Linked DNA regions of Drosophila melanogaster. The protein of the gene in region 2 interacts with the protein of the main gene of each other region in a pairwise test. Each region holds a gene or a part of one and is shown on either strand. Other genes may lie near its edges. The genes, in order: tal-AA, BNIP3, CG32450 and CG31600.

The links.
Region 1: the proteins of BNIP3 (region 2) and tal-AA interact in a two-hybrid assay, tested with the Drosophila melanogaster proteins (one large-scale study listed by BioGRID).
Region 3: the proteins of BNIP3 (region 2) and CG32450 interact in a two-hybrid assay, tested with the Drosophila melanogaster proteins (one large-scale study listed by BioGRID).
Region 4: the proteins of BNIP3 (region 2) and CG31600 interact in a two-hybrid assay, tested with the Drosophila melanogaster proteins (one large-scale study listed by BioGRID).

What each region holds. Positions count from the first base shown.
Region 1 is NT_033777.3:13,810,124-13,815,739, forward strand, and holds tal-AA (tarsal-less AA), read left to right. Parts: upstream 1-2,985; 5' UTR 2,986-3,402; coding exon of another isoform or gene 3,403-3,438; 5' UTR 3,439-3,515; coding exon of another isoform or gene 3,516-3,551; 5' UTR 3,552-3,622; coding exon of another isoform or gene 3,623-3,658; 5' UTR 3,659-3,747; coding exon 3,748-3,846; 3' UTR 3,847-4,525; downstream 4,526-5,616. UniProt on the Drosophila melanogaster protein: One of four peptides (tal-1A, tal-2A, tal-3A and tal-AA) produced from a polycistronic gene that function redundantly in several developmental processes.
Region 2 is NT_037436.4:20,513,419-20,522,008, forward strand, and holds BNIP3 (BNIP3), read right to left. Parts: upstream 5,976-8,590; 5' UTR 5,590-5,975; coding exon 5,550-5,589; intron 3,887-5,549; exon of another isoform or gene 3,859-3,886; coding exon of another isoform or gene 3,843-3,858; exon of another isoform or gene 3,281-3,842; intron 2,715-3,280; coding exon 2,443-2,714; intron 2,369-2,442; coding exon 2,307-2,368; intron 2,206-2,306; coding exon 2,026-2,205; intron 1,966-2,025; coding exon 1,914-1,965; 3' UTR 1,181-1,913; downstream 1-1,180. Other genes in the region: CG32425 (uncharacterized protein), read left to right, coding at 1-268; mTerf3 (mitochondrial transcription termination factor 3), read right to left, coding at 6,199-6,476, 6,536-7,322; CG5104 (uncharacterized protein), read left to right, coding at 7,738-7,809, 7,997-8,166, 8,242-8,359.
Region 3 is NT_037436.4:22,326,964-22,331,920, reverse strand, and holds CG32450 (uncharacterized protein), read right to left. Parts: upstream 2,144-4,957; 5' UTR 2,028-2,143; coding exon 1,764-2,027; intron 1,705-1,763; coding exon 1,492-1,704; 3' UTR 1,264-1,491; downstream 1-1,263.
Region 4 is NT_033779.5:21,912,567-21,917,925, reverse strand, and holds CG31600 (uncharacterized protein), read left to right. Parts: upstream 1-2,567; 5' UTR 2,568-2,623; coding exon 2,624-2,668; intron 2,669-2,727; coding exon 2,728-2,910; intron 2,911-2,959; coding exon 2,960-3,124; intron 3,125-3,177; coding exon 3,178-3,486; 3' UTR 3,487-3,657; downstream 3,658-5,359. Other genes in the region: CG11634 (uncharacterized protein), read right to left, coding at 625-1,521.

The DNA.
Region 1 (5,616 bases), on a different chromosome or scaffold from region 2:
GTAACGAACAAGTAAATAGAGATAACAATCAAATCTGTCGACTTAAATGCAGAAAATGTTTTAGCATTGGTAATCGTTAGCATCTTGGCTTTCCAAGAAACGATTACCGGCTTCCAATTTTCTGGCCAATTTGGGTCAAGTGGACCAAGTGCTTACCGTTACCTTCTGGCCAATCAAGAGTGTTAAGCGACTTAAGCGACTTAGGTGGGTTGGCCAGGCCAATAGAGAAGTTACCGCTTAGCATTTGCTAGCCGAGCAAGTTTTGGGCCAAAAGCACGAGTGTTCAAACTGTCAACGCGGCAGCAACTAACAACAGCAACAATAACAAGTTTCTGCCATTGCAATGGCAATTTATGAATAGCAAAGAAATCGAAAAAAATACACAAAACTGCAACATTGCATGGCCAAGTCCAAGAGCAAGAAAAGTCAGCGGAAAATACTGTTAAATGTGCACAAACCGAAATAAACAACGAACATTGACCCAAATTTTTAAAAAATCTCCAAGACCGTTTGGAGGTTTTTCTCGAAGTCTGGGCCCCTTGGCAAACATTGCATAAGTCGGCAAAAAGGAAAACCCAAGAAAACCGCAGTAGCAGCCGTCCTGGGCACCTCGGAAAAAAATATATATTAAATTGATCGAATTACAAGGCAAATGCGGCAGGGAAAGTGATCGAGGGGGAAAACTCACCGACTGACAGTTGTGCCAACAAATGTTGGATGTGGCACGTGGCGCATTTTGGGAAAACAAAAGGTGCAAAGCGGAAAGGGAAACTCGGGCCCAAACGATGCATAACGAAATTCGTGAATAAAAAAAAAGCAAAAACCATTTGGAAAGTGAAAACCCAGAAGCGGAAGCGCCAAAATGCAGCGAGGATGATGCGCATCCGGTGCATCACTTAAAAAGGTAAATTTCGGTTTTGGGGATCCCGATCCCACGCCAGGTAAATCAAACAAGCTAACGGCAAAAGAACTCCAAGCTGAATGACCCAGGGAGCATTAGGTTAATGGACAGCTATGGGGTTTCATTTCAGATGTAGTTCCCTGACTTTAAGTAAAGAATACAGGATCACAGTAGTATTTAACTCCCAAGTGCATGATTCTTTGAAAACTTTAAATAACATACACTCGAAGTACCCCTTTGTCTCTAGTATACAAATAATAAAATTAGTTCGCGATTTAAATCTAAACTAAATAAAGGAGTCGTTCTTATTTATATGTGAGGCCCAATTGAATGGTATTGGATTCGATATGCTTTCATCTGATCAATCTGATTTCAAGGTCTCAATCTGATTTCATTTCCACTCGAACCCGTGCCAAAAGGGTGTGGCGATCATCTTACAGGCGGCGAATATCTTCCCGTCTCCGGAATGGAATCCTTGATTCCGGGCCCGTGCCAAAGGGTTCCATCCCCCGCTCGTGGCAAGCAGTCGTCCTCCACTCGAATACTTCGTAGTGTGCCGGAAGTGCCCCTTTTAGTTGTGAGTTTTTTACGTCGCTGTAATAAAACGAAAGGATTTATATTTCCTATTGTGCGGCAGATGACACACCTTGTAATCCTCGCCTGCTGCTCCCGGCCTCACCAGCTGACTTGGACAACGAGCAAATTTGGGTTTAAAAATATGTGAAAGATCGAGAAATTCTGCAACACCTCGGCGCAGTATCTCATTATTACTTTTTGTCGCATCCCAGTGGCCTTTGTGAGTGGACCTGCCTCCGGTGTCGCATTTCGCGGAAGCACCCGTCGTTTCGGTGGGTCGTCCAGCACCGACTGACTGCTGACTCATGCCGAGCGTTTATCCTTTTTATGAGTCGGCAGTTGCGGCCTAAGCCCTTTGAGTCCTCAGCCTTCGAGTTGGCCCGGCTTAGGCTACCACAAATGTCACGTAAAGTGGGCAGTGGCCGTCGCGCCGCCGGCTCAAAGACCATTAATTTGGGACTTATGGCACATAAGGATATTAGCATTTTGGCAAGGATCTTCGGCTTGTCGTCTCTGTTTGACTAAGCGGCGACAGCCACAATCTGGGGTTAACATCTATATTCCCTCATTTGCACTTGGAATGGTATATTAATGGATATTTGCACTGTGGATATATATATACAACCTTACTTAGACCTGTGACCAAACAAAATCTTTGTAGTTTTCATGCTGTTACAACGATTTTTTACTATTGTAATCTTTTATTGAAGACATGTTGTTCTAAGCAAGTACGGCAGATATGTTCATAGTTAAAGAACTTCATTTTATATGCATTGTTGCTTTATCGTTTATCTTTTGGAAATCTCGGAAATTGTAATACAAGTATGACTTAATTCTTTGGTTTTCCAAATGTATTTATTAATTCTTTAGTCTCTAAATGTAAAGATCATTTCAATTAAAAAACAAATTTCCCACATTTCTTGAAAATCTTCGTTCATTTGGAAGAAAAGACTATTGTCCTACTTTGAACACCATTTTTTCGAGTGCACTTTGCCCGGAATATACGAAATTTGGCAATAAAATATACCTTAATTAGCTGCGGGCCTTAAAAGAAGGTGGAGTCTGTTGCCTCAGGATCGCAGTCTGAGAATCTAAGGACCAATGGAATTCCAGGATAGTTCTTACCTGAGCTCCTCCAACGCACACATACACACAAGATCCTCACACACGTGTGAGCAGAACGAGGCCACTCGATCAGAAACAGCTGTTTGGTGAATGAAATCCAGGTGGGTGTGAGCAGAGCGAGAGAGAGGGAGCGAGAGCGGAGAGAGAGAGAGCGAAAGCGAGAAATGCTCTACCTGGAAATGAATGAAAATACGATCGTGATCATCTCCCCACTCGCTCTCACCCACTCGCCTAAGAGAATGGTGCCATTAAGAGCGCGGCGCACCTGCCGTATATCGTGCTCTTTTGCACTCGCTCCCGCTCTTGGAGCACTCGACAGCGACGCCGGCAGCGACGTCGAGCCGGTCGAGCATTTAAGCTTACGACTTGACGAAAATCAAATCAAAAGATCGACAACATTCGACGAGTGCAGATCACCAGCTAAAAGAAAACCAGCTGAGACATCAGAAAAGTCCGCAGATATTCACGTAACGCCTTAAAGATTTTCCGTGCGGTTCCCGAACAAACTAAACATTATTAACAAACAATAAACGAATTTGTAGTGTCAGTGACTTTTGAACGCACGAAAAAATTCCCAAACACACAACCAAACGTGACTGTATATTCAGCCCCAAGAAACCCAACAACTGGTGGTGATAATAAAAGAACTTACAACAACAGCGCCGAGAACCAGTATAAAGTTCAATACCGCGCTGATTCAAATTAAACAAAGGAGAATCGACAGCAGCAGCAGCAGCAGAAACAAAAAGCCAGCTCGGTTTTGTCATTCAAGTATTTTTGGTCAATACACGGCATACGAAATGGCAGCCTACTTGGATCCCACTGGCCAGTACTAAAGAAGCTACACGACGACAGCAAGACATCGTAATCGTAGACCTCTTTTAGAAAATCCAATAAATCACAGATCTTCGCCATGGCCGCCTATCTGGATCCCACTGGTCAGTACTGAAGTTGGAGCAAGCAAGCAGAAGCAGCAATATTTTGAGTTCCAAGCCGAAAGTTATTTAAAACAGTATCAAAATGTCGCACGATTTGGACCCCACTGGCACCTACTAAGGTTCTATCGCAAGAACTCCACATAGCCAAGCATTCTAAGGCTGAATACTATACCCACTTCAAAAGCTCCACAAATACAATCCTTAAAAATGCTGGATCCCACTGGAACATACCGGCGACCACGCGACACGCAGGACTCCCGCCAAAAGAGGCGACAGGACTGCCTGGATCCAACCGGGCAGTACTAGACGCTGATATCCCAACAACAGTGCCCCATAACGCCCGTGCCTTATCCACAAACTCTGGGCATGATTGGGGGAGCGCGCTGGTTGCGCGTTCGTGGCCGCGAGGAGACTTCCAGCTGCCGGCGGAGAAGAAAGCTGGGGATCGGGGCTTCCCCAAGCGATCTTGGGGAGCCCTGCGATGGAGACTTTTGTATTTATGTAGTTTTTGCGTAGCCTATCAATACCTATTATATTAATTATTTATTATTATCATACTATTTAAATTAAATACTGTTCATTGCTGTTCACAAAACACCGATACGCACACATACATATCCTATATCCTATATTGTATCACACATACACCATATATGTTATATATATATACTATACACTTGTAATTGCTTCTTCAAATTGGAAAAGATTACGCAAAGAGTATTATGTTTAGTGTCATATTTCCCGAGCAAATCATCGTTTGTTTAAATTATCATTTATTTATTGCCAACGATTTGTAATGTTCTTTTTTTCTCTCTCTCGCTGAGAGCAAGGAAAACCATTCGGAGAGCGAGAAATTTTGTTTAGATCATAAGCGTTTTTAAGCTATTTATATGTCTACACCTTCGACCGACATCCAGAGAACCCCAACACACACCTCTCACACCCATTTAAATATAATATTAAAAGAAAACCATATTTAAAACTGAACATTTTGAGTGCATTTTTTCCTTTTTCCATCGATCGATGGGTGTATGGATGGACCAGCGAGCAGCAAAAAATTGTCGCATTAAATTACAAGATTTTCCAGATACACAGAGATACATGCCCACACACATACACACACACACACACACTGAGTTAGATCTCTGGGGGCTCCGCCGCGGACAAATTGCTGTCGGGTGAGCATAAAATATGATTTTCCAAACGGCCAGCGCATATTTGATGAATCTGTGGGCATTAATTAATGTCACTGGGCGGTCGCCGGCGGCCAAGCGGCCTGGAAATGATCAATAAAAATGGAAAAACACCGAGGGGGGGGGGTAATGAAAACGCATTTCCCAATGCAAAAATATTATCCGGACAATCGAAAGAGCGAATCTTGATCGGGCAACGCTGATGCGGAAGTAAAAGTTCAATGTTCGTTTGTGCTCCACAAGTGATTAGGTCAATAATAGCATAACAACTACAGCCGAGAACTTGTGATTCTGAGAGAGGGGCAGAGAGAGCGCTAGCTCGCAGATTTCCACTTAAGAGAGCACAGAGCTTTTCACGCTCTCAGCCAGCAGGTTTTTCCAGCAGGAAGTTCCCGCCGAAGAGGCAGTTTAACTCTTTCGCCAGAGAGCGGTGGAAAACGAGAGAGACTATTAATAGACACGCGCGCACTAGCTTTTCAGTATCAGTATGAAGTTCAGGGAAATCCACTCGCTACGAACAGCTGATCGCCAAGGTTGCTGCGCGGCCGGCGCTGATGACGTCGCCTAACGGAAAGCTTTCCCACTCAATCGAGTGATTCGAACTGAAAATGCAATTGGGCGGATCGTCTTGTCCAGCTCGGGACTCCATTCCATTCAATCTGATTCGATTGACCCGCCTGCAATCAGATCTTCCCAGGAACCCACACACGCGGTGACCCAGTTAACTTGTTGTCGCCGATATGAATGAATATCGCTTTCAGCCACAGAATGTGTATAAGCCAACTCATGTTCAACCAAAAAAAAAAAGCAGCCAGCACAAGTCACGGGCGAAGAAAGATGGGCGAAACTCTGAATACCCTGTAAAATGAATCCTGAAGCAAAA
Region 2 (8,590 bases):
GGGCCAGGCCATCAAGCGCAAATACACGGAGCTGGAGGAGATCTCGCAGAGATTGCGATCTCGGCTGGTGGATGTGACGGGGGAAACGCTGAAGTTCCCGGAATTCGATGTCGACTCCGCATTGGACAGTTGGCAACAGGAGGGAGATGACGATGATTTAGCGGAGGACTTTGAACGCTCCCTACGCACTCCCACGCCCCCTGGCTCGCCAACGCCCTCCACCAGCACCGCCGCACAAAATCTCAGAAACTCGAACGGTCAGGAATAGCCCAGGGCCAAAAGTCAGTTAAGAATGTTTTTTCCTCTCTCCACATCTCGATGTCGTCTCTGATATTGGCTCAAATGGTAGCTATAGTTAACCATCTAGATTTAGGCAATATATATATATATAATGCGCGGATCTTAATCTGATCTGATATTATGCTGTACTTAAATTGGCATCCCAGTTTTGCCTCGATTCACCGTCTTATGGCTGTCTATATAGCATAAAATCAAAGCTAGCAACGATCACCCAGCGATCGTTTCATTGAGTTACAAATCGTCGATTGAATATTGTTTTAAGTCACGAGGATTTTTCCCAGCAACCACACGGAATATGTATTAGTTTCGGAACTGTGTTAATCACCTAAGTATTTAGACACTATTACCTAATAAAACTTTAAATAAAATTACAATTGCTAAAGCAACTCAAAAACAGTTAGTTTATGCACTTTAAAGGGCGGCAGTTTAGTTCGTATCGATATTGCATTCGCTTGGCAATTGATAACAAGTCTAAATGATCAACTAACAAAATTAGTTGACTATTAGCACATTATGATGAAATTATCGCTTATACTGACTCACTGCTGATAATCTCAAAAAAATATTAATGGCGAAATGCAAATAGCGGGTTTTTCCCTTTATATACACAAAGGTAATCCAAGCCCTCACTTATGTGAAACAGTTTGATAATGCGAACAGGTACACGTCTAGCGATTTTCAAAACAACAGGCGACTTATTCAACAACAAGCACCGGGAATGCCTTTTAGACAAAAGGCATCTCAAAATACCTTGCAGCACTTCCCTGAAAATCCCTTTCATCTCACTAATCCGTCTTTCCAAGATTATAAAATTCTCAAAACTTTCTAAGCCATCTCTTGCAATTCCGTAAAACCCACCAAAGAAAAATGTTTGCAGATGCTCTTTTAAATAGATATTGAAAAATATTTTAATATAAAAAATCATTACAACTATTCTGTTTTTTTTGTGTGGGGGATAACCCTTCCCTCACATTAAAGATATAATCTTATGTGTGCCATATTGTTTTTTTTTCTCCTTTTGTATCGTTTTTCTTATATGCTTATTGTATCGAAACATTTGACGATTGTTCAACAAAAAGTACAATCAGGATACAATACGATTCAACTATAATATGTCTACAAATGTTTATGGTTGTTCTATATGATGTATGATGATGAAATTGAAATTCTTAACACGAAGTTCGGCGTACATTTGTATTGGATATAATGCACGGTTGGGTGCTAAGACATACGGCTAAAGCAAAATATATGGAGCATCTATAAATGCTTTTCTGTATCATTAGATTTGCTGCCTTGATATAATGTTAAATATATAAAATTATATAAAATATGAAAACGCTTAGTTTCAACCATTGCCCAAAGGCCTGTTTTAGTTTGCTGGCTTAGTAATTAGAAATTACATTTTTATAGGTATGTACTGAATGAGAAGGTGTCGAAAATATAGACTTCCGATAAAAATACAAATGAGTTGGAATACGGTTGGCTGTATAGATGTGTATACTTCGTTTTCTTATATGGAACGCATCGTGTTCTGTTTTCGATTGATGTGCATATTGATAGATTGAAAACGATTATATATATTTCCTCTTTCTCCTTTTTGTTTATGGCATCTTTCAGTCAATGACCACACGGGTAAGGAGTATGCCACGCTTGCTCAACCATAGCCTATAAATAAATACCATTACATGAAATGTGAATCTGGTGAAGATTGCTAGAGACCCTTACCCGAATCCAGCTCCCAGCAGCAGGGACAGGACGTTGGTCACCAGCAGCGAGTACAGAATTTCGCGGGAGAACAACGAGTTGGAGCCCAGTCGCTTCAAACGGATGGAGTAGCCTGTGTTAGTCTTCTTTTTCTCGCCCTCGTCGCCGGCATCCCGACTTGAATCCTCAATGTTCCAGCTACTGTAAATAATAATTCAATGAATGACCATTTGTGGTAAAAGGCCGCAATGCTCCAAACTTAGTTCTAGATTCTAGAAACTTAGCTAAATAAACTTTCATACCTGGGTGGCTGATTCCAGTTCTTCAGCCAATCTTCATTGCCTGCATTCTGTTTGTCTCCTCCCTGGCAAAAGCAAAAACAGAGACTGGCATTGTTAGCAAGATCACCTCGGTTCCGCCTCGATTCTCATCTCTTACCTTGGTCCAGTAGTTGATGTACACGTTTCTGAGCTCATCATCCGGACAGAGCTCCGACTGGGGACTGTTCGGTGGACTCTTGGGGCTATCACGGGGCGTATCACGACGGGAGCTGGCCAAGGAGACGACACGGCTCGACTGGTTCGACTCGCGCTGGGCCTCGCGCAGAAGTCTCAGGTACTCCTCGCCATTGTTGAATGGCAACGGAGTGATTCTGTCGGGGCTCTTGATGCCAGCCATCGCAGCTGTTGTGCTGAGTTCGATCCAAGATTCTGGAAAGTAGATCATTAGCATGATAGACTGGCGAACAAAGTGGGTGAAAGCTAAAGCCAAATGGGGTGAAATTAAATATTTAGTTGGTTGCATTTGGAGGTGGTTAAATATAGCACAGGCTCGAGGGTCGAAACCTTTTGGGGCGTGTTGAATAAACATGAGAAGTCCAAACACAGACGTGCGTTATGACGTTCTTTATTGAATTTATACAAACGAAAACGTTCTAGGTTCGTTAACAACAATTTTTAATTTAATTTTAGAAATTTTCATACAGAACATATCAATATTTTACGATGTTTAAGTTTTGAATGGTTTAACCCTATTTAACTGTTTATTTATGAAACAGTTTATTTATTTCTAAGCTGATAAACGTCAGTTTAAAGTAATCCCTTGTCTAAAATTACACTTGCTGACAAAATAAAGTAGTTTCACTTGTTTACTCAGAAAGGCGTGCAGTTTGAGAGCCACTGTGCGGCGGCAGCGGCTCTAAAAATGTGCCATCGTCACCCTTTCAGCGTTTGTCTTCGTTTTTGTTTACACGTAAAAACATTTTAACCATACATACGTTCGATTCGTTAGCCGGATCTGCAATGTATGTGCTTGTATATATCTGTTCGAGTGCTCGTGCCCCATTGATAACGCTAAAAACCCCACCACTCGCATAATTTCCGTTTCTTTTCGGCATACTGTGTATATAAAGCAGCACACATGTTTTGTTTATAGTCTATACAAGCCGATGCTTATCAATGCTCTACGGAGAAAATTTCATTTTCAAAACAAATCGAGAAAAAAGACAAACTGGCGATGCAATATGGGCACGAGAAGCGTGCAAGTTACTTGATAAGGAGTACAGTGTAGCGTTCCTAAAAACTACCTAATAATACAACCAACTGATTACATGTATACGCATATATATAATCACACATACGATCACACCCAACGCCTCTTATATCATCTATTATTCACTTTCTAATTAATTAAAATTAATTTTTTCTATAATTTTGTAATGTCACATTATAAATTTAAAATCTTCCTGGTATTGCTTTCTCTCGAGTTATCACTGTACAATCATCTAATTTAGACACTTTCGCGATGGAATCAGTTACAGAATAATTCAGATCACTCACGTGGCACACCAATCATGCTGACAATTGAATACTAAATGCATCGTCTAGACGAAAAGGATGATGCATTTATGATGGAAATGTTGCGAAAATAGAAAATGGAAATGCCCGTATGTCAGGTAGACGCAGAAGTTTTGCACAGGTAAACAATATTTGGAGCATTATCGGGAATCCGGGTTACAGGTACGAAAATGGAAACAAAAACAAAAGCAAAAGTGCACAGAAGGGTGGCAAAAACAAAAACAATGGCTTTGTGACTCACGGCACGTAGGCCTCTCTCCCTCTCTTTCGGCCAACCACCCTCCGTCTCTCTCTAACAATCACTCCCCCTCTCTCTCTCTCTTTCTACCCTACCCTCTTCGGGCTTTGTCGGGTGTGCATCTTGATGCGCAGCTGTCCAAAAGACCCTGAGTTGGGCCCATTGAACCGCCTTTATTATTGGATGGATGACTCCTCGGTATCATGATACGATTTCTTGCGTAGTATATGGCACAGTGCACAAAGAAAAAATGTTTCTCTAAGTTGGTCATTCATTTCGCACGTGTTTTAAGGTCAAGAAACAGATCAAGCCGGCGCATTACTTACACACTTATTTCATATACATATGTACATACTTAGCTTTAAAAGATTAATATCAGATTCATTCAAACGTATAGAAATACATATGAATAATATTTATATGCTATCATTGATAACGGAATTCCACATCCAAACTGTGTCAAACCTTTCAAAAGTGATGTATTTCATAACATATGGTTCGATTTGGGCTAAAACTGATTAGATTAATACTGCTTGGATGGTAGTAAATTGAAAAACAAATTTTTCGTCCGGCATTACTTTTGTGAGTGACTTTGCAGAATTGTAGTATAATTTCTGTGGTAGTCAACAACCTTTTCGACAAACAAACAAAGTGCTTTCAAGCAGTCAACCAAAAAGATTATACTTTATGTCAACAAAATATTTCAACATTTCGTGCAATTCCTAAGAAAATTTATTGAATATTGTCCATCATACGATTTTCATAAAATTAAGAGATTTTGAAAAACACATTCAAGTACGTTGATGAGTATAAATTTATATAACCTAGTTTTTCCGCGAGTGTAAACGTGGATGTTGATAAAGTGGGCAGCCGAAATACAATTGAAGCGAATATGCCAAAGGCGCAATTTCTGGAAACGACCGATAGGGAAATGCCCTCCCACAAAATGTATTTATTTACGAATTATTTTAGCAAGCCAGACGGAAGAAGAAGACCGGGTCGGGGAAATGGGGAGCGCAAAAAGTAAACCACAACTGACGTCAAGCGTGCTAAGTGCAAAGTAAAGGAACAAGACATGACATGAATGAAAGAGCGGAGGGAGAAAGAGTGCGTTGGCAGCTTCTTTGTCTTTGTTTTCATACGGAGTTTTGCGGATTCTTTGTTGTCTCTCTTTCTTTCTCGCCCCCTCTGCGGAGCAAGAACAAGTGCAAAGTAAACAAATAAAAGCAGAAAGAAATCAAAAAGCAGACAACGCAAAGCCTTGAAAAAATATGGGATGCGGATACTAACAAATTGCAAACAACTCCATAAATACATACACATGTCTAGATACTCTCGCAACAACAACAATGCGGCATAACGGGTTACCATGTTATTGTTATGATTGTAAAAAGGGGAGACGCAAAAAAACACGAATGAAAGAGCAAAGCAGACGAAAACAAACAACTTACCGCCCAGCAAATCTTCGCTCGATTTTGGTGTCGTAGACATTTTGTTTTTGTTTATCGGTATGTGTGTTCAACACGTCAACACCAAAGATAACTTGGGTTTATTGCTTATTATTAACTCGCTTTAAAGTTAAACTATTTCTATTATTCTTTCGTGAGTTTGACCAAGTTTTTTTTGGCCCTTCCGTATGTCTGCCTGTGTTTGTGTATTCGCTTTTGCTGTTTATGTATGCGTAGGAAAATGCGTTTTACTTTTCGTTTGGCGCTGTTTCTCCGCCGCTGCACTCGATTTGACTATAACTACTGGTTTCGGACTGAAGCCAACCGCTGGAGCTCCGAAATATTGCAACTTTGTTTAATGCTTCTCCCGAAGCGACTGTCTTGTAACTAAAATTAAACACGATTCGTTTCTACGCACAAGCTTAATGCGTAGTTTAAATCTTTTGTTGCTGTCCAGTGTGACCAGATGGAGAAACGGTAGCAATCCAGGTGCGTGTCTATGTTTTCCTACATCTGGCATCCCTTGTATCAAGTAAATTTATTGGTGGTTATTTTTAAAATGATAAAACTTGGTTTCTGTTGACTTTTGAAAATATATGCATATGCATATATGAATATGAAAAGTATATATACATTTACTTTTATTTTATTCTTATCTCGTTTTCAAAAACAAATCAAATGTTTCCAAATCACTTTTAGCCACATTTCGGACGAAATAAAAGTTATTGCCTTCCACTATAGTTTTTGGCGATATATACAGGTCTTTTTGCGGATCATATTGCGCTCTTCCAAGCAATTTCAGGAACTCATGACGTTCCCGCAGTCTAAATTCGCGTGAGGCCAAAAGCTCCGGGCACTGGACAATCTGGGCATGTGGAAGGCCCATATCCTGGTGAATGTAACTAAATCGCTCGACAAGATCATCCGGAGCTGCAAGGATAAGTTGTTTAATTACAAATGTCCTTAATTTTGAATGTAGATAGACTTACGAATCATCAAGAGGCGCGGCTTTCGTACCACCAGGTCACTTAGCTCCTTGGCATTGAATCCCATTTCCTCCTTAAGGGTGAACACAGACTTGCGGAGGTGTTCCATATTGTAGGTAATGGCATTGGGTTCTCTGGTGGCCAACAGTCGCAGATCATGACCACTCAATTTGAACTCCTTTTGGAAGTAACCCAATCGACGATCCACTCGCCTGGTGGAGAACATCAGCCAATAAGGATTCTGGGTGAGAATTCTTTGCCTGGCTTCGTCCGAGAATCTCTTGCTTTTTAGATAGTTCACTCTGGTCTGCAGATCGTCCAAGTCCTCCTTGAACAGCAGCGGGTTCTTGGTGAACATCCTGCCGAAGTCATCGGGTGATACGCCCTGATCCACCAGGAACGTTATGTAGGGCTTCACATTTTTCTCGAAATCCAGCTTCAGTACAAAGTCTCCCAATCCCTTTCGCCGTTCAATACTGTGCAGATCCACTCCCAAGCTGAGAAATTGCTGCAGGGTACTCGAGTTGTTCACATAGGCCGCCAAATTGAAGGAAGGCACATGGGCCTCCCGATTTCGGAAGTCCAGAGCCACTTCTTTGGAGCCTTCACATTCCGCAGGCTCGGTCTTCTTGTCATTCTGTTTGGTGGTTATACCCGGTGATGTTAACACTTCTACCTCATGGTGGACACTTTGTTGTCCTCGCAGATTTCGTATTTGTGAGGTAATTGTTGCGTTTTTAGCCGCATTTTGTGAATTCCTCAAAATGTTACGTAGAGCTGAACAAAACATGCTGGAGGCGTTGCCAGATGTCGCGAATGTGACCAGCAGTTGGCTGCCAAAGTTTCTAAATATGGCATGCTAGCTAGAAAAAGCTAAAATTATATTTTGAATATGATTTTGATATAAAAACATATTTGTTTTTAAATGGATATTCTTGAACAAAAATGCACTACTAATATCTGATTTCTTTAGTTTTTTTATGAAGATATATATAAAATTGCAAATTGTTGGTATAATTTTTAATCGGACGGTATATGTTAACGGTTACCACCACGGTCACACTAGGTATGATCTTGGATTTATTTTGGTGTGAAAATTCCGGAGCATAAAAACAGAAGAGACCCTTGTATGTGCAAAACCCCCCGAGAGGAGTGCCGGTAATTCCAAGTCAGCCACCTGTTGAACATTATTCAATCGCCGCATAATGGACAAGTTGCGCCGCGTTCTGAGTGGAGATGAGCCCACTCCGGAGGAGGAGAGCAGTATCATTACGCAGGTGAAGAAATTTTCTAATGGTACAGATCTCATTAGATCCCTTAACATATTCTGGCTGGAGGAATTATGATTATGGCGTGGCTTAGGAGCTAGCCGCTGGCAACGCCCCGCGATCACATGGCGCCCCAAGCCGTGTGACCCAACGCTTATCAAAGTATTTAGTTAATATCAATCAATTACATACGCAGATCAACGACATGTCCACTTTGAGCTGGTCCACTCGGATCAAGGGATTCGTCATCTGCTTTGCCTTGGGCATCTTACTTTCCCTACTCGGCTCGGTCGCCCTATTTCTGCACAGGGGCATTGTGGTCTTTGCGGTCTTCTACACTCTAGGAAACGTCATCTCGATGGCCAGGTGAGCGAGTTGCTGGTTCCGTTCCACTCGTACTTCACACAAGCCGGCTAATGAGTCTCTCTTCTCCGGTTTCAGTACCTGCTTTCTCATGGGTCCCTTCAAGCAGATCAAGAAAATGTTTGCGGAAACACGGCTGATCGCCACCATCATCGTGCTCGTCATGATGGTCCTGACGTTCATCGCTGCTATTGTGGTAAGGCGTCCATGCTCAAATCGAAGATATCACAATTATTTAGGGTTCGGTCGTTAACTTTTATAATCAAGTTAGTTTTATAGCGATAGCATGACGAATTTGTTTGCAGGTTTTGTAGAAAACTTTTCCTTAATGTTTAGACTTTAAAGTTATCCAATGAAATAGCGATCCAAATCTTATACATACTTCATGAACTCACAGTAAAGTTAAATGAAAGCTTTTAGCATTTTA
Region 3 (4,957 bases), 1.8 Mb from region 2:
AATGCATTAGCCAATTCCGTTCTTGTATAATTTATTTGAAATTTATTTGTTGGCTGATTAGTTTGTAATTAGCCGTCGGTAGGGCAGCTGATTCGCTTTTGTGGCCATCGTGCCATCGAGTGTGCTGCAGGATCATTTAAAGCCCATTTCGACTGCCCTAATCTTGCCCATCTCCCCTTGGATGGGCGGCCTGTAGCTAAGTGCATGCAATTTGTTTATCGGCATTAAAGCTCTGCCAAAAACTTTGCAGCCTCTGCAGTTTGCGCCTGACATTAATGCCTGCGAAAACAACACCCCACCCACTTGCGCACACATTTATTAGCCAATAAACTTTTGACCTCATTTTACCGAGAAAAAAGGTAACACACACATAAACTAAATGCAGCCGAGCGGGTGTGAAATAGTGGCTGGGTGGCTCGGAAGGGAACCAACAAAATATTTGTGCTGCCAACCTGGGAGAGGCACAGGTTTCGAATAAATAAAATAGGACAAAAAAGTAAAAGGAAACTCGGATCATAGAAACCGAGAGGAGCAAGCAAAAATATTTGCACTGGCATTCCCATATTATTTCTGCTCTTGTTACTCCTGCTCCTGTTGCTGTGTTTGTTCTTGTTGCTGCTGCTGCTGTTGTTGTTGTTGTTGTTGCTGTTGTTGTTGTTGTTGTTGTTGTTGTTGTTGTTGGTATTATTGTTGCTGGGGGTCCAGAGCAAGGATTATAAATTATAACAGCCTCACACGGTTATTTATGTCATGTCAATGGGAAGGGGTGTCACACGGAAGGGGATATATCATCAATGCATGCGCTTAGTTGAGTGGAAATAGCTGCGAAATAAAACTATGCATTCGGGACTGGCTTTAAAGTGGAGCAGGCCGAGATGAAAGGGACTTAAATCGCAGCCAGCCCCAGGATCCCATCGCACCGCACCACAGCGCAGCGCGCTAAGCCAGAGATCTGCTTTGAAGCTTTTGATTTATTTGCTTGATGGCAAATCATTAATTTGCTTTGAGCCAGAGCAAAAAGAAAGCACGAAGCTTAGCATGCTTTTCAGCTGCTGTCAGATTTTCGGGCGACAAACAACCACCGCACGAGCAAAAAGGCAGCCGAAAGAAGCAAATTTAAATAAAACGCAAACCAACAAAATAATCCGACACATGCGCTGCCAAATGATTACCCAGGACTTGGCCCCAAAACCCCCACCTAATCCTATGTGCAATGTCTTTCCCTTCGCTCTGCGGGGTTCAGTGTGTTTTTGCAACATAAAAAACCAAACAATCACTTCATTTTATTGCGCCAAACGAGAAAGCCCAAAGCTGACACTTTTCCAGTCGCAAAAAAGGTCTCAATCATTAAACGGAATTGAAGGATCATATCGATTTTGTTGCTTAGAAGGGTACAAAGCCTGGTTGGATTCGAGAAGGTACTTTCCTCGATTCTCGATTTTAAGATCCCCAGTCATATCCGAGTGGGGATCCAACTGAGTGTTGATTTAATTAATCATCGGATCTATCGGTTTTGCGCAGCCAGTGGGCATTGCTGCTTTCACATCTCTTTGCTTTTGGTTCGGATGGATCAGTGGTTAATAGGAGGGGGTCAGAAATGTCCTTTCGCTTCCAGATTCCCTGCTTGTATTCCGGACCGTACTTGTCTTTCATACGCTGTTCAAGCTCGTACAATTTTAATGGTGTCCGTTTAGCCACTGTATGCTGCTCGAGGTCAGACTTGGTCAGAGGTCAGGGGCTATAGGTCCACGCACAAAACTTACCATACTCCGCACATATTTGTACACCCCATAGCCGATGCAGGCCAGAATTAAGGGAACTACCACAAACAGCCCCACGTTTAAACTATTCAGCTCGGGATCGCTGACCACGTGGGTGACATCGACGGTTTCCAGGGCAAAGGGTGGGTAAAAGAAGCGAATGATCTTATAAGTGGCATTGGCCAAAGTATGTTTTGGAAAAGGCTTCACGATGTCCACAAACCTCAACGACCAGTGCGAGTCCGGCGGCGGTACCGTTATATCCATATTTTTAAAAAAATGTATATAGAGAATGTTAAACCAAAAAAAACAGCAACGTCGAATTTTAGATTGTTCTAAAGCGACTTCTACTTGGTACTGGACAAGCAGCACTCTAAAAATGACTGATCCATCAAGGGCAACTCAATTAGGCCCGGTATTCGTGAAAACCCTTTAGCCAGACATAAATCATCGCCTACTTGGGAGCCCCGGAATGGCGTCATTGATTTATTAGCAGGACATACGCTCGAATCGATGCTGCTGGTGAAAAACTAGCGACAGAAGTGGCGGTGGAAAATGAAGCTAAAGTGGGAGCTGAGCAAAACCAGCCAAACCATCATCAGTCACCAGGCAAACAAACACGACGAGGACCCAAAGCGCAACGGCGTCATATACAAAAAGTGCTTGCATACATTACCCCGGAACCCATGAGCCGGAATAGATGTGGGGCGAAGGACCAGGGTCGCAGGACACGGTGTGCGCGGCAGAGGAAAGGACGCGTGCTTACTGCCAGAAACACGTACAAGAAATCATGAAATGTTGCCGCCATCATACCGAAAATTGTACGGGTAACGTGCAAGCAATCAAAGTACATGGAGGCAGGACTAGGCAGGACTCGACTCGAATCGACTGCGGCAACTAGAGCGCCTCGACATTGCCAAGGCCTGTGTGCTCCTCGAGCAGCGCCCACACGTCTGATTTTTACTACACACGTGTGCTGATGTGACGTCGACAGGATTGTGACTGCCTACTGACAACACTAGTGGGCCTTCTCCTTCTTTTGGCCTTCTGGGTCCTAGACTCCAACTGAGCATCTGGTTCAGACCAAGACCGAAACCGAAACCAGTCTGGCCGAAATGTAAAGTATAGTTGACGCAGACGTGCCAAGCTCGACGTGGCTGTCGTAGATGCTGCTTTTTGCTGTTTAAGTAAGCATGCAAATGTCACATGTAGACGGTAGTCGGTACTCGGTAGTTGGCGGTATCGGCAGGAGGGGATCAAGGGGAAGTGGGCGTGATAAGCACTCTCAGTTATGAAGGTGGGCATTGCTTGGTTTTCGGGCTCGCCGTTTCTTGCCCCTGCCACACATAAATGATGAGGTACACGTTGCCTCAGGCTGAATTTAGTGATTTCCCCGAGCATGTGGCATACTTTTTATGCGGCTCCTCCACGTGAGCATAAGGAGCTTCGGTTTATGGTTATTGATTCAGCCGAGCGGAGGTGGAGATAGTTTGAGTTATGGCCTCGGTCTGATTTGTGTCAGCAGGAAGTTTAAAAGAAATTGTTGCGCACTTTCGGGAGGCCAAAAGTGGATTACTCAGAGGGTTGCAGGCAGGTCCCCTGATTGAATTGGCTTAGCTGGGGGCGTACGGAACGAGATTGGATTGGATGGGGATGGGGACTTGCAATCAAAAGCCTAGTTTGTTGCTGCCTTCGCCAACCTCATCGTATTGGCAAAAGGTGGCAACCCTCGATCCACTCATTGTTCGATCAAAAATTCATGGCATACCCGTACGTTGGAGAGGTGCCAATAACTCGGCTGCTCCACTGACAATCGCCACTGTCTGTCTGCCCGTACGCAATTTACAATTACCGCACGCACACACAATTTATTTTGCAGCGCTAACAAATAAGCTAAACATTTTCGTGGCCAAGGGCCGTCCCGCTCCCAGGTGTATAGCAAATCAAAAAATCAGACAGGGCTGGGCACGAAGACACGCCAGGCAATCAGTTAAATGTTTGTTGAACTCACCAGCGTCGAGGTCCTTAAGTTCTCAAGAACGCACGACTCGCCGGTTTCGAGGAGTCCCAGGGGCTTCGCTTCTCCGCTCTCGATGCGCTCCTGCCCTTTTCCGAAAATTGAACTTGTTGGCGCCCAGAACGCAGAGCCCCGAAACCGCACCGAACAAAAAAGACGGAGAAGCAGCTCCGCAGAACGATGAAGCGGCAACTTGAAAAATCGCTTGTCGCACTGCAAGCGAAGTGACGGGGAACGCTCACGCGCAGTCGTAGTGATTTGGCTTTAAAAAAGCAAGGAACATTCCGGAGTTCCGGGGCAGGAAGCAGACAGCAAAAGACGCTATGAAAGCTGCCACGTAATGAAACTGACAATTTAACTCACAGTCAACCAGTTGTTTTGGATTTCAGTACGGGTTCGACGGGGAGCTGTGTGCGTGCTGAAAAATCGTGTTATCGATTTAATGCGTTACGATATATAAGTATATACAACCCTAGTGTGTGTGCAGATTGAAGGGTTGGGCTGGGTTGGTTTGGTTTCGATTCGGAAAAAGGGTTGCTTGCCTTTGGCTTTGGCTTTTATCGCTCGCCTGTGTCTTTGTGACTGGCTGACTGACTGACTGACGTTCTCGTGTTTGCTTGCCAGTCCTGTCCTTTGACCGTTTTCCTCTCGCTCTTTCCATTCCGTACTGCAAAGGCATTTGATTAATTTGCAGCAGTTTTCCATTTGGAATTGCTTTAGTTTCCTGCAGTTTTGCCACTCTCGCAGTGTGCAGGATTTGACAGCACATTTGAGGCCACTTTCCCTTCCGTTTGCTCCGCCACTTTCTCCCTATGGTTGTACGGCTGTGTGTGTAACGTTGAAAGCTTCTTATGGAATGTTAAGTGATTTTTTATTGAATTTTTAAGCCCCACTTAGGCGTTGTCACTGGCAGTATACCGGACGTCTTCCCAAACGTATCTCGCTTCCGTCTCATCCTGCCGACTTGCTTACTAAATTAACAACCTTTTCTTGTCTCCTTTTAGGTACGTATACGCAATTTTATGACTCTGTCCCCTCGGGTGAGTGCTAGTATTGAAAATCAGGGCTGATATTGGGGCTTTATGGGCCTGAGATACGAGATAATGAAGGGTGGCCGTTGTGCGTTAGATGGTGCTTTAACTCGTTCGCACTTTCAGCGGCAAATGAGAGCGCAAACAAA
Region 4 (5,359 bases), on a different chromosome or scaffold from region 2:
ATTCCAAGGCAGAAAAACACACAAAACTGATAATTACACTGACGAGCGGGCTTTATTTTTGGATTCAGACCTTAAGTGCCCAAAAGCGACGACTTGGCGTCACTCATACGCTCATCATACTCCCATAAAGAAAATGATTTTATGGGGCAGATGCTTGTGGTGACTCCGGAATGCTGTGCGATCGTAAATTTATTCGGTCATGCCCAGTATCAGATTGCCAAGTTGAATATAAGTATCGGCTGCAGAGCTAGAAAACATTCTTACAGTGTTCGGCACGAATAAACAAAACAATATTTAAGCGAAAAGATAACAGACCAACATTTTACCATTTCTCAATGTCCCAATAAAATTTAAAAAAATCGAATACACAGTTAGTCACGCTGTGTCGAATTAATTCGCAACCTATATACAAAAAACCTGCGTTCATTAAGACGCCCAAAAAGTCAATATCCGGAAGAAAAGAAATATTGTTATTACCGCTGACAGCTGCACTTACATTGTATATTGGCACGCATCATGAACGTTAATAACCATAAAAACACCCAAAATAACTTTAAATTTTGAATCTGCCAAGCACTTTTGCGAAATCGGATGAAAGGGGAAGTCGTGGAAGTCATTCCAATACTAAGCTTCCAAAAAGAAGATAGCTGCGTGCTCCTCCTTGTGATCCTCGATGTCTGGCAATATTTGTCCGCCAATGGGAAATACAATGGCTTTGAAATTGTCATAGATACGTAGGGTTTCGAAGTGAAAGCCGTTTTCAACTACCACGTAATTTTTCTGGGCCTTGTGTGGCTTTAAAATTGGCGACAAGTCAACGTTGGCGCAGTTTAGAAAAAAATAGGACGAGCTGAGGGCCGCCACGAGATCGTAGCATCCAGTTAGCGTTTCGTTCCAAATGGAGACGGATGCGAAGGCCAACGATTCGCACTGACTTATGGCAATGGCCTCCTGGTTATTGCGGAATGTGTGAAATGTTACTACTCCAGTTGGGTAACTTCCCAGCTTATCGTGCGTACAGTCACACACAAAAATGGGTGAAGCCATTGGTGGGGCAACCTCCGAAATGCAGGCCCTTATTATGTTAAAGTTGGAGGTGTGGCATTTCTCCAGTGCTGCCAGATAGCTAGGATGTTCGGCCACAAACTTACTAAGAGGATGTAGCTTAGACAGGATTCGCTCGACGATCTCCCCGCGAATTTTCTCTTCAACCAGAACCATGGCCACCGCATTCGAGGCAAAGGGATTATGAACCGACTCAATAATAAAGTGCAGTGCACTGTTGATGTCGCCTTCTTCAAATATAATCATCAATTGGGGAGATGAAGTGACATCGTGTCCTATATGCCGGTCAGCTTCCGATGTCATTTCGATGACACTGTGATCAGGTGATCTTCCCTCCGGGTTATGGACCATATCGTAGGTGACGACATGATCCAGTGACAAGGACTCATTGTGCTCCGACTGGGACGGATGCTCGGAATCAACTGAACGCGGAAAGTATTTAGTTGTATCGAACATGGCTTATCAAAAACTTCACTGTAATGTAAAAAATTTGTTTTTATATATTTTGAGATTTATTTGAATGGCAAACGCGATTGGATATGATTAAATGAAACATTTCTGACACATTTTCATATTTCAATTATTTTGTTATTTTTTTTAATCTACCAGGAATTCTAATATCACTTGAGTACTAAGTACTAAACCGCTCAATGCGGCGCACTCTGAGTCCTAACCATCGGCATTTATCAAAAGCAATATAGTTTTACTGGCCCCTTCCATCCATTGCCACATCGAGGGAATTCAAAAGAGCACCCATAACCCACGGTGCCCCTTATTTGTTAATCGCTTAATTTATGATCAAATGCGACAGTAAAATTAAAATATCACAAACAGATACAAAACACCAAAGTATTTAGCCATCGTCCAAATAGAATGCCAGAAATGCATTGGATTTGTTGAAATTAGCATTAATAATTATAAATATTTTGCCAAAATATTACAATTTTTATTGTGCATTTCGAACTACACCCTTTTTGACTTACAACAAAGAGCATACGATTATGAAATAACAGAACAGAGCCAACAGCGACAATTAAAATATTTAAAGCCACAGAAATATTTTTTCGCATGGCCCATTGGCGAACTGAAAACCCACAACAAAAAGTGCGTAGTAAATTTCCTAACGAGTTGAGGGACATCCATGTGGACATCAAGTGCAGCAACAATACAGCCATATACGGAATGATAATTTTGCTAACGATGACCATTTACATATATCAAGAGTAATTATAATAAAATGCCGAAAATAAAATTAAAATTAATATAGAAAGCCGATTATAAAATCATGTTTATACCTACAAACAGTTATCGCACACACTCTCATTCGTTGTAGCAAAAACAACTGTCAAAAATAGCAAATCCCATAAATCAACAATGAAATTTTGCCAGAAAAAAGGAATTGAAACACAAATAGAAAAACCTGCGTGATTTCGTATACATACATAATTGGGAAAACAAAAATTTGAATTTATGTGGTAGGCCATTATTTCCAGCTTCGAATATTTTGTCAATTTGCGTAGAATAAAATTGAGCTACGTATATTAAAATAATTCTCAAAATGGTAGAGGGCATGATAAAAAAGCTAACTGCTATTTTATTTGGGGTAAGTATTTAATCAGCAGCCCGTCTTCAAGTTTTTACTGACAACTTTTCTACACTTAGCTTGTATTGGCTGTGTTATTTCGAGTAATTATACCCTTTACTCTGCGACTTAAAAGCGCTGAAATAACCATTAATGTGCTTAACTGTTTTAATTTTCTAACAAGTACCGTTTCCATTACCATTTGCCTGAATTTGGTCAGCCTATACTTAGCCAATTTGCGTGATGATTGGCTTGTTCTCGGGGTAAGGACTTTACCAAAAAAAAAACGTGAGGTTGATAATTGTAAATTAGCTTATACCGCTGCAGATACTCGTCCTTCATTGGACTTACTTCACAATTTCAAAACAACTAGAAGCCATGAACAGGAGCTATAGTACATTCATGGATAGCTTAAACCTTAAATGGCTGGCATACTCCAATTTTAACGAGACAGATTGGCCTTCGATTGAAAATGCGGTATGTGTTATGCCTTTGCTCATTTGCCCTTTCAAGGGTTTTGCTTTTCACAGGTTTTATGCTGTGGACTGGAGGGTCCCCGTTCTTATATGGATTATCTACAAGGGGTTCCAACCCACTGCTACCATCCCGACCTTATCACCCAAGGTTGCAGTGACTTTGTTAAAAACATTTTTATGCCGATACAACATATAAGTCATTTGCAGCTCAGATTGGCTATTTTTGTGGAACTGGTAATTTTACTTATTCTTGCTGCAACGCTTTTGAAGAAATGTATTTCTTTGATCGGCGAAAGGAAACATAAAAGAGTTATTACACACGGGCTTGCGGTACTAATAGATTTAGTTAAAAACACATTTTGAAACATTAGCCTTATTAACCCTAACCAAATACTACTACTCTATACACTACCATGTAACCATTCTTGAGTACTAAATGCAGTTTCTTGTAATGTTTGTATTGTTTTAATCTATGCCACTGTATTGCATACAATATGTAGATGACAAATCGAAATGGAACAAAGAAATAAATTGAAATAAGCTGTCTTTTATTGCCGATGACAATTTGAATAAAATTAATATACAGTTTATCCTATTTTTAATTAATAAATGTCAAACATTTTGCGAGTATTGAGTATGAGTATTTAATTGTCTGATTTGTAATTTGGTTTTTTCCTGTTGTCTTTTTGTCATGGAAAATTGGTTTTGTTATAATTCGTTCGATGAGTACGAAAAAAGTTTCAAATGGCGAATGGAGTGGTAATAGGGTAGCGGAAACACACTTTGGTCTTGTGCAGCGGAAACGGAAGTGAGTATTAGAAGGCAAAATAAACTTTCGGAATGGAAAAACAATTCACATTAAGCAAAACGTACACATTTTTGACAATTCCATACCGTTATTATTGGTCTGAAAATGTACCGGTTTGCTTTTCCAAATTATAATTTATTGTCTTTTTTGGTTTAAAAATGTATATAGATAATATCAGGAAATCAATTGTGGAAAATGCATGAACGAAGGCGTGACCTAAGGTAGATGTATGAACAGTGCTTTCTATTAATTTAAAACAAATTGAATTTTCTTTATTATTTAATACCCCGCTAAAGAGATATTTTAAAAACAAGAGATAATGCTCGGATATACCGAGTTCCCCGACTGTGAGATACTAGTTACTCAGCTAGTGTGTATACGAACGCGAAAGTGCATCATTTTTCTGGGATATCGATAGATATTGGGAAATAAAATGACCGATTCGGAAATCGAAATATTGTTCAATATTAATAAGTGACTAATAAAAACGTGAAAAAATATAAACACATTTTTCAAAAGTTTGGGCGTGGCATTTTTATGCCGTTTCTGGGCGCTAGAGTGGGCGTGGCAACATGGGTCAACGATCTTGCGCTGCGTCTTTGTTTCTACAATCTTTATGCTGAATCTCGAACTTCTCGTTTTAATAGTTCCTGAGATCTCGACATTTATACGGACTGACGGACATGGCCAAATCGACTCGGCTATTGATCTTGATTAAAAATATATGTAGCTGTGTTCAGAAAAATAGCAGTGCGAAGGAAACTGAGTAATACAAAGGTATTCTTCCAAGTCCCTTTTCGGACTCGACTCTTTTTTACACGTACACTTATTACGCACTACACGGCTAGTTTTTCATGTTATCCTTTTTTTATTTACATTTTACATTACATTGAGCAAAATCACAAGTTTTAGACTGTTCATAAGAATAGCAGTGTCTGGTTTTGACCAACGTAAAGTCCCGAAATTATAAATATTTTCTAAAAAAAAGTGAGTTTGGTTAAGTTAATTCGCGTATTTAAAGGGGCAATAATTTAAAAAAAATTATTTTAGTGGGTAGAGGACAGCACTGCTCCCAGGAGAAAATAATGTTAATTTTTAAGCTAAGAAAGGAAGGAAAAACATACAAGGACATTCAAAAAACCCCTGAATATTCTGCCAAAATGGTATCCAATGCCATTAAATATGAATGGAAGCCGAAAACCGTGGTACCAAAGTCTATCCTTTTGCATCCCCTAGGGAGATAAAGTCTGAGCTGAGTGACGTTACTATTCGGTGATAACTACCTAATCGAAATTTAATTGCGAGTAGTCCCAGAAAGGTTCCCGTACTTAGCCCAAGGCATATTAAGGCAATGTGAAACTTCGCTAAAACCTACCTAAACTGGCCAGTCTCCAAATGGTGTAATATCCTTTAGACTGATAGGTCAAT